Xenopus tropicalis: one gene and its partner. The protein of the gene in region 2 purifies or fractionates together with the protein of the main gene of each other region. This does not show direct contact. Links are inferred from orthologs where the notes say so. Each region holds a gene or a part of one and is shown on either strand. Other genes may lie near its edges.

Evidence for each region.
Region 1: the proteins of rab10 (region 2) and gdi2 purify together in Homo sapiens (co-immunoprecipitation; 3 studies listed by BioGRID and IntAct, with this or other methods). This does not show direct contact. The link is inferred for Xenopus tropicalis from reciprocal best matches to the Homo sapiens genes RAB10 and GDI2.

The regions. Positions count from the first base shown.
Region 1 is NC_030679.2:84,473,033-84,476,684, reverse strand, and holds part of gdi2 (rab GDP dissociation inhibitor beta), read right to left. Parts: intron 3,434-3,652; coding exon 3,334-3,433; intron 761-3,333; coding exon 589-760; intron 1-588. UniProt on the Homo sapiens protein: GDP-dissociation inhibitor preventing the GDP to GTP exchange of most Rab proteins. By keeping these small GTPases in their inactive GDP-bound form regulates intracellular membrane trafficking.
Region 2 is NC_030681.2:154,267,821-154,272,202, forward strand, and holds the start of rab10 (ras-related protein Rab-10), read left to right. Parts: upstream 1-1,443; 5' UTR 1,444-1,591; coding exon 1,592-1,718; intron 1,719-4,382. UniProt on the Homo sapiens protein: The small GTPases Rab are key regulators of intracellular membrane trafficking, from the formation of transport vesicles to their fusion with membranes.

The sequences.
Region 1 (3,652 bases), on a different chromosome or scaffold from region 2:
AAGATATCTTAAAAAGATGATGACTTTTCCCAAACCAAAGTTGTATACACACAGACTACTGCCAAAGAAGAAACATCTATTTTGGGCATGAAACCATCAGTATCTAAACTTTCTAAATTGGGGACCTTTCCCTGGGAAATGTTAATCCATCATAGTTTAGCCTAAGAAATCGCTCATTTTTCCTCTATCAACTTTGCAACAAATCTACACAATGTAAATATTAACATGGAGTTATAAAAGAAATGAGGCATAATATATACTGGCATTGTAAAAAAAAAAAATTTTTAGTAGGCCCTGTAGTGTCTCTGCTGCTTCCTCTTCCTTCTCTGCCTGCTTAACTCCGGTGTTAGTTCTATAGCTCATTTTAATCATTTTGTGAAACTCACATGTTTTTGTTCTTACAGTCTTCTGATGTGATTACATTATAAATCAGTGCAACACACTTCGCCCCCCATACACATATTATAAGCCCCTTAGTGCCTCTGTCCTTCCCTGGCCTGTAATTCTTCTCTCTGTCCTCATTTCCCCCTGCCTGCTTCTCTCTGGTGCAACATATTTCAAAATTTACCTACTTCTTGTGAAACTCACCAGATTTTCTGTTGACTTGATTCTGTGGAATGATAATCTGACAAGAATTGGCATCGTTCGTGTTCTTTATTGGATGGCTCAGAATACAAATTACACGGATGACCTGTCCTACTTTAGTGACCCGATCTGAAACGTAACTTGGATCACATATCAGCTGCTTGCATCGTGCCACCTGCAAAATCAAAAAAGCCCTTGTGAAACAATTTTTTCAAATTTGATGGTGTTTTTTTTTACCTCCAGTGTAGGACACCCATGGGTGCAAAACCTATATATGGGTTGGAGGGAGGAGACATTTATTGGGGTACCATGGATTCTATATGCAATATTTTTTATAAACATTATGTGGATGATCTTTTGCTTGCATGGCAGGGATCTGAGATTGATTTTTGGGATTTTGTAAATTCTCTGAATAATAACACTTTGAATTTGAGCTTCACCAGCAAGTTTAATAGAACTTACATTTTCTTTTTGGATTTAAAGTTGTCTCTGATTTTAGGGTTGAAACTATATTTAGGAAGGCCTGTGCTGGTAATTTACTCGTAAGGGCTGATTCTGTCATCCCAGCCTTTTGTTTAGAGGGATCCCTTTAGGACAATTCTACAGGATACGGAGAAATTGTAGTACCATGGAGGCCTACATTGAACAGGCCTGTCTCTTGCGAGATAGGTTTATGGATCGTGGCTACAAAATGAGGTCTCTTTCAGCAGCCTTTACTAAGGCATAACAAACTGATAGAATGGAATTGCTTAAAAACATAGATAAAAGTAATAATCAAAATATAAATAATAATAAGATTTGTAGAAACACCGATTTTTGTTACTACATATAGCAATCAGTTTTATAGGATTAGGAGGATCTTCAATAGCCTTATACCTGTTCTTTACAATGATCCCCTTATAGCGACAATTTTGCAAGGGGGATATAAGTTTGTAGCACGTAAAGCTCTAACTTTGGGTAATGTTCTCTCTGGCACACTATGGAAGTCACACCCAACTAGAACTACGTGGTTAGCGACTACAGGGCGTATCCCTGGGGCGCACGTATACATTTCACTTGTGCCTATATAAAACAGTCTACTTCTTTCCAGAGTTCAGTGACAGGCAGATATTTTAACATGCGTATGTATGCAAATTGCAACACACAGTATTTTGTGTATCTTTTGACCTGCTCGCATTGTAATATCCAATACGTTGGCTGCATGATCCGGACTTTAAAAAGCAGGATGTGTGAACACGTTAGACACATAGTAACAGTCCTATATCTTGACACTTTATACAATGTTGTGAGGTCAATGTACCTTTAGACAACGGTGAGCTCTTTATAAATGCTGAACTGATTTGCTTGTTGGTGACTCTTCTGCTTGCCATTCATTTAGGAGACAGACCCGGGGTATTGACGGCCGGGTCTCCACTATACATTTGGTACGATGTTTCGCTTTTGGCATTAGCAGACTCGTTTACTGATTTATATCTAATTTAATTTTGTGCAAATATTTTGTGTTTCTTTAATTCTGAGTCTTGTGAAACCAATGTCAAGCTTACTTTTTACACATCTCCATGAAATGCCTTTAACTCTCAATGAAGAGTACAGATGTGAATCCTTAAAAAACATACAAAACTGTAGGAAGCCAGACCAAAGTCATAATACAACGGTTCAAATTAGGCTGTGTATATCTCACATATTTAAGGTAGAGCTACAATGGTATTATTTGTAATTTTAGAAAAAAATGCACATTTTTCCCCAGATGTGAACTCTCTACTTGGCAATTGAAACACTGTTTTCTTTCTTCTGTAGAAAGATATGGCAGAAGCATTCGGAAAGCTAACAGTAGCGTTCTGACCCGAGCTGATGTCAGATCTTGCCCATATTTGTGCAACAAGCAGGGCGTTTGTCTGCAAGCGTTACTACAGCCCACATATGCCAAGAAATCCAATGCAGCACCCACAGCAGAGGAGGAGAGAATTGCATATTGAGAGGGGAAGCCCTTTACATATTTAAAACATTCACAGTCCTTGGTTTAGTTTAAAGTAAATTATAAGGCAAAAACAGTGTATGCAGTTTATTTGCTACAGCAAATACAAATAGCTAGATACAACTTTACAGTGCTTGCCGTTATCATAACCAATCCATGCAAAAAAATTGCAAAATAGGGCAGAAAGCACTATTTAAAGCTAAATGCATAACCTTATGACTTCATGACTCTCACATGTCCGTTAGATGCCAGATCTAACAGATAAGCTGCATAGTTTCCCATTGTATTCTACAGAGTAGAGTCCTGCATTAGGTCACTTTCGTTCAGCACAATGCTTAGGGGCAGATTCATCAATCAATAGAGCTCAATACATCACACCTATGGGATTTTTTAAAAGCATATTTATCAATAATTGAAAGTTAGAGTTGAACTGAAATTTAGAAAATCCCAAAAGGAAAAAAAAAATAGAACGTGGGTGAGTTTTTATGTAAACTCACATTTTAATAAAGCTGCCCCTTACTGTGTTGGAGCACAGTAAGTAACCTGTGCAGTTTCAGGGTCCAGAATTTAAACAAGCTGACCAATACCTAAGGTCAATAAACAATAAAGGCTTCATATACTTAACAGAACATTTTAGGTAATCTTCTACAATCCCTTTGTTTTCATCAATATAGGATAAAATAATGTACTCCCATTATTACGGTTACCAGAGAATTGCTAACACCTGCACAGAAACATGGCAAAAGTAATAACATAAATGCATAACAACGTACCTCCCCTTCTGATTTCACACCAACAATTTTGCCATTCTCCATCACCAGCTCTTCTATTGGTTTGTTCAACATATATGTCCCACCATAAATGGCACTCAGTCTGGAAAACAGAATGAGGGACTTAATGAAGGGCAATAACAGGTAGGCAAACTACAATCTAATTTTCCAGCCCATTACCAGCTTTTTATTTTTTAAAGGAAAACCATACAGGACAAGATTGACAGTCAAAGATGGTTAGGGTCTCTTCATAAAGGTTTACAGTCTACAGAATGTCAGGTAGAAAAATAATGTGAACTTTGGAACAAAAATGATAGCATAA
Region 2 (4,382 bases):
TGTATGGGGGGGCACTGTGTATGGGGGGCACTGTGTATGAAGGGCTACTGTGTATGGGGGGGCACTGTGTAAGGAGGGCTACTGTGTATGGGGGGGCACTGTGTATGGGGGGCACTGTGTAAGGAGGGCTACTGTGTATGGGGGGGCACTGTGTATGGGGGGCACTGTGTAAGGAGGGCTACTGTGTATTGGGGGCACTGTATGGGGGGGCACTGTATGGGGGGGCACTGTGTAAGGAGGGCTACTGTGTATGGGGGCACTTTCTATGGGGGCATTGTGTATGGAGGGTACTTTCTATGGGGTGCTGTCTATTGGGCCATCGTGGGCACTATTTTAACTATTTTAAAAATGGGGTGTGGCAATTGGGGCGTGGCCAAAATTTTTGGGAGGTATGCACTACCCCTGCCCTATGCCTCCTCTCCAGTTACTGGCATGGCTGATGTTTCCCTGCCCTCTGTGCCCAGTCCATGAGGTTATTGTAGTTTTGCAGCTTCAGCAAAGAGGAATAGAAAAGGGAGCTTCTGTCTACCCAATTGCATGCTGGGTAATGTAGTTTTATATTAATCTTATTCTGTAGGCTAATTGTAAGAGACAAACTACATTACCCAGCATGCACTGAGATGCAAGGGGAAACAAATCCTTGACTAGTTCCCAAACTACAAACCTGCCAAGACTCCAAAAACAGTCCAAATTTGTACCTTGTTGGGTTTGTACTTTGGAAACCCGCCCAATAAGTAGCCCAATTTGGTGGAAAACCCGCCAACCTGGCAACCCTGCCCCTCCCCGTCTGACTTTGGTACCGAACCGTGATTGTCATGTAACTGCCTAATGTATAAAGTTGGATTAAGAAAAAAAAAATCCCTTAGGAGACAGGCGGTAGCGCGCAAACCATCAGGCTGAGGGGAGTGGCCGCCATTTTGTTGACTGCATCGCAAGGTGGGCGGTGCCTGCTCTGTTGGGACGCGCAGAGGCCAGCATTCAGCCAGTGTATGGTTGCGCGCTCCCGCGGTGGGCGGTGCCTGCTCTGTTGGGACGCGCAGAGGCCAGCATTCAGCCAGTGTATGGTTGCGCGCTCCCGCGGTGGGCGGTGCCTGCTGTGTGGTGACGCGCAGAGGCCAGCATTCAGCCAGTGTATGGTTGCGCGCTCCCGCGGTGGGCGGTGCCTGCTCTGTGGGGACGCGCAGAGGCCTAGGGAGAGGCCTGCATTTAGCCAGTGTATGGTTGCGCGCTCCCGCGGTGGGCGGCGCCTAGCTGTGGTGAGTACGCGGAAAGTCTGTGGGAGGGATAGCCATTTTGTCCGGAGTCTCCCAGCGAGGCCGGAGAGGAGGGGCTCAGAGAAGGTGGGAAGAGGCCGGGACAAGCAGGCGGCACTTAGCGAGCCGAGAAGCGCACTGAGCTGGGTGTGGGGCCGCCGGCTTTCTTTCTCTTTTCCCCTGTGTGTGCGTGTGCTTCACCCGGTGCTGGGGGCACCCTCCGGCCGGACAGTCTCCCGTCCCGTCCCCGCTGGGCCTCCCCGCCCCCCCGTGTATGAGGAGCCGGCCGAGCCGAGGCCGCAGCCCCAGGCGGAGGGAGTGAGACGGAAACAGTGCCCATGGCGAAAAAGACGTACGACCTGCTCTTCAAGCTGCTGCTGATCGGGGACTCCGGGGTGGGCAAGACCTGCGTGCTCTTCCGCTTCTCGGACGATGCCTTCAACACCACCTTCATCTCTACCATCGGTAAGCGCAGGGGGGCCCGGGTGGGCTCATTGGCTATGGGGGGGGGGGGCTTTGCTCCTCCCCTTGGGTCATCTGAGAGGGGCAACTTCGGGTTTGATGGGTAACTGACAGTAGGCAACTAACCTACATGGGGCATTGCCAGCTGTCCCTATGGGCATATTGACTGGTCCCTATGGGCATATTGACTGGTCCCTATGGGCAGCTGATAGGGACATATTGACTGGTCCCTATGGGCAGCTGATAGGGGCATGTTGACTGGTCCCTATGGGCAGCTGATAGGGGCATATTGACTTGTCCCTATGGGCAGCTGATAGGGACATATTGACTGGTCCCTGTGGGCATATTGGGCATATTGACTGGTTCCTATGGGCAGCTGATAGGGGGACATTGACTTGTCCCTATGGGCAGCTGATAGGGACATATTGACTGGTCCCTGTGGGCATATTGGGCATATTGACTGGTTCCTATGGGCAGCTGATAGGGGCATATTGACTGGGCCCTATGGGCAGCTGATAGGGGCATATTGACTGGTTCCTATGGGCAGCTGATAGGGGGACATTGACTGGTCCCTATGGGCAGCTGATAGGGGGACATTGACTGGTCCCTATGGGCAGCTGATAGGGACATATTGACTGGTTCCTATGGGCAGCTGATAGGGGGATATAGACTGGTCCCTATGGGCAGCTGATAGGGGGATATTGACTGGTCCCTATGGGCAGCTGATAGGGGCATGTTGACTGGTCCCTATGGGCAGCTGATAGGGGCATATTGACTTGTCCCTATGGGCAGCTGATAGGGACATATTGACTGGTCCCTGTGGGCATATTGGGCATATTGACTGGTTCCTATGGGCAGCTGATAGGGGCATATTGACTGGTTCCTATGGGCAGCTGATAGGGGCATATTGACTGGTTCCTATGGGCAGCTGATAGGGGGACATTGACTGGTCCCTATGGGCAGCTGATAGGGGGACATTGACTGGTCCCTATGGGCAGCTGATAGGGACATATTGACTGGTTCCTATGGGCAGCTGATAGGGGCATATTGACTGGTTCCTATGGGCAGCTGATAGGGGGACATTGACTGGTCCCTATGGGCAGCTGATAGGGACATATTGACTGGTTCCTATGGGCAGCTGATAGGGGGATATAGACTGGTCCCTATGGGCAGCTGATAGGGGGATATTGACTGGTCCCTATGGGCAGCTGATAGGGGCATGTTGACTGGTCCCTATGGGCAGCTGATAGGGGCATATTGACTTGTCCCTATGGGCAGCTGATAGGGACATATTGACTGGTCCCTGTGGGCATATTGGGCATATTGACTGGTTCCTATGGGCAGCTGATAGGGGCATATTGACTGGTTCCTATGGGCAGCTGATAGGGGGACATTGACTGGGCCCTATGGGCAGCTGATAGGGGGACATTGACTGGTCCCTATGGGCAGCTGATAGGGACATATTGACTGGTTCCTATGGGCAGCTGATAGGGGCATATTGACTGGTTCCTATGGGCAGCTGATAGGGGGACATTGACTGGTCCCTATGGGCAGCTGATAGGGACATATTGACTGGTTCCTATGGGCAGCTGATAGGGGGATATAGACTGGTCCCTATGGGCAGCTGATAGGGACATATTGACTGGTTCCTATGGGCAGCTGATAGGGGCATATTGACTGGTTCCTATGGGCAGCTGATAGGGGGACATTGACTGGTCCCTATGGGCAGCTGATAGGGGCATATTGACTGGTCCCTATGGGCAGCTGATAGGGGCATATTGACTGGTCCCTATGGGCAGCTGATAGGGGCATATTGACTGGTCCCTATGGGCAGCTGATAGGGGCATATTGACTGGGCCCTATGGGCATATTGACTGGGCCCTATGGGCATATTGACTGGGCCCTATGGGCATATTGACTGGGCCCTATGGGCATATTGACTGGGCCCTATGGGCATATTGACTGGGCCCTATGGGCATATTGACTGGGCCCTATGGGCATATTGACTGGGCCCTATGGGCATATTGACTGGGCCCTATGGGCATATTGACTGGGCCCTATGGGCATATTGACTGGGCCCTATGGGCATATTGGGGACATTGACTGGGCCCTGTGGGCAGCTGATAGGGGGACATTGACTGGTCCCTGTGGGCAGCTGATAGGGGGACATTGACTGGTCCCTGTGGGCAGCTGATAGGGGGACATTGACTGGTCCCTGTGGGCAGCTGATAGGGGGACATTGACTGGTCCCTGTGGGCAGCTGATAGGGGGACATTGACTGGTTCCTATGGGCAGCTGATAGGGGGACATTGACTGGTCCCTATGGGCAGCTGATAGGGCCTGGTAGGTCTGTGCCACACACAGACAAGTTAGAAGTAAGTAACCATTGTACTGCCCCATGTACAGACATGTCAGTGGGCTACAGACCTTATGTTACCCCTGTTAGGAGTCACCTGCTCACAGAGCCATAGTCGCTGGGATTCGTCTCCCTGTTCCCAGCCCTCACTGGTGGATTAGCACTTTCCTTTCAGGCAGATACTGGCATTCTACAACAGCAGCGCCGCCGCCTGCCCCAGGAGAGGTGATTAATTCACCCCACTCCGCCTACACAGACACATAACTAATGCTCCCAGGAGCCGCACTCGGGGACGCACAGACCTTGCTTGG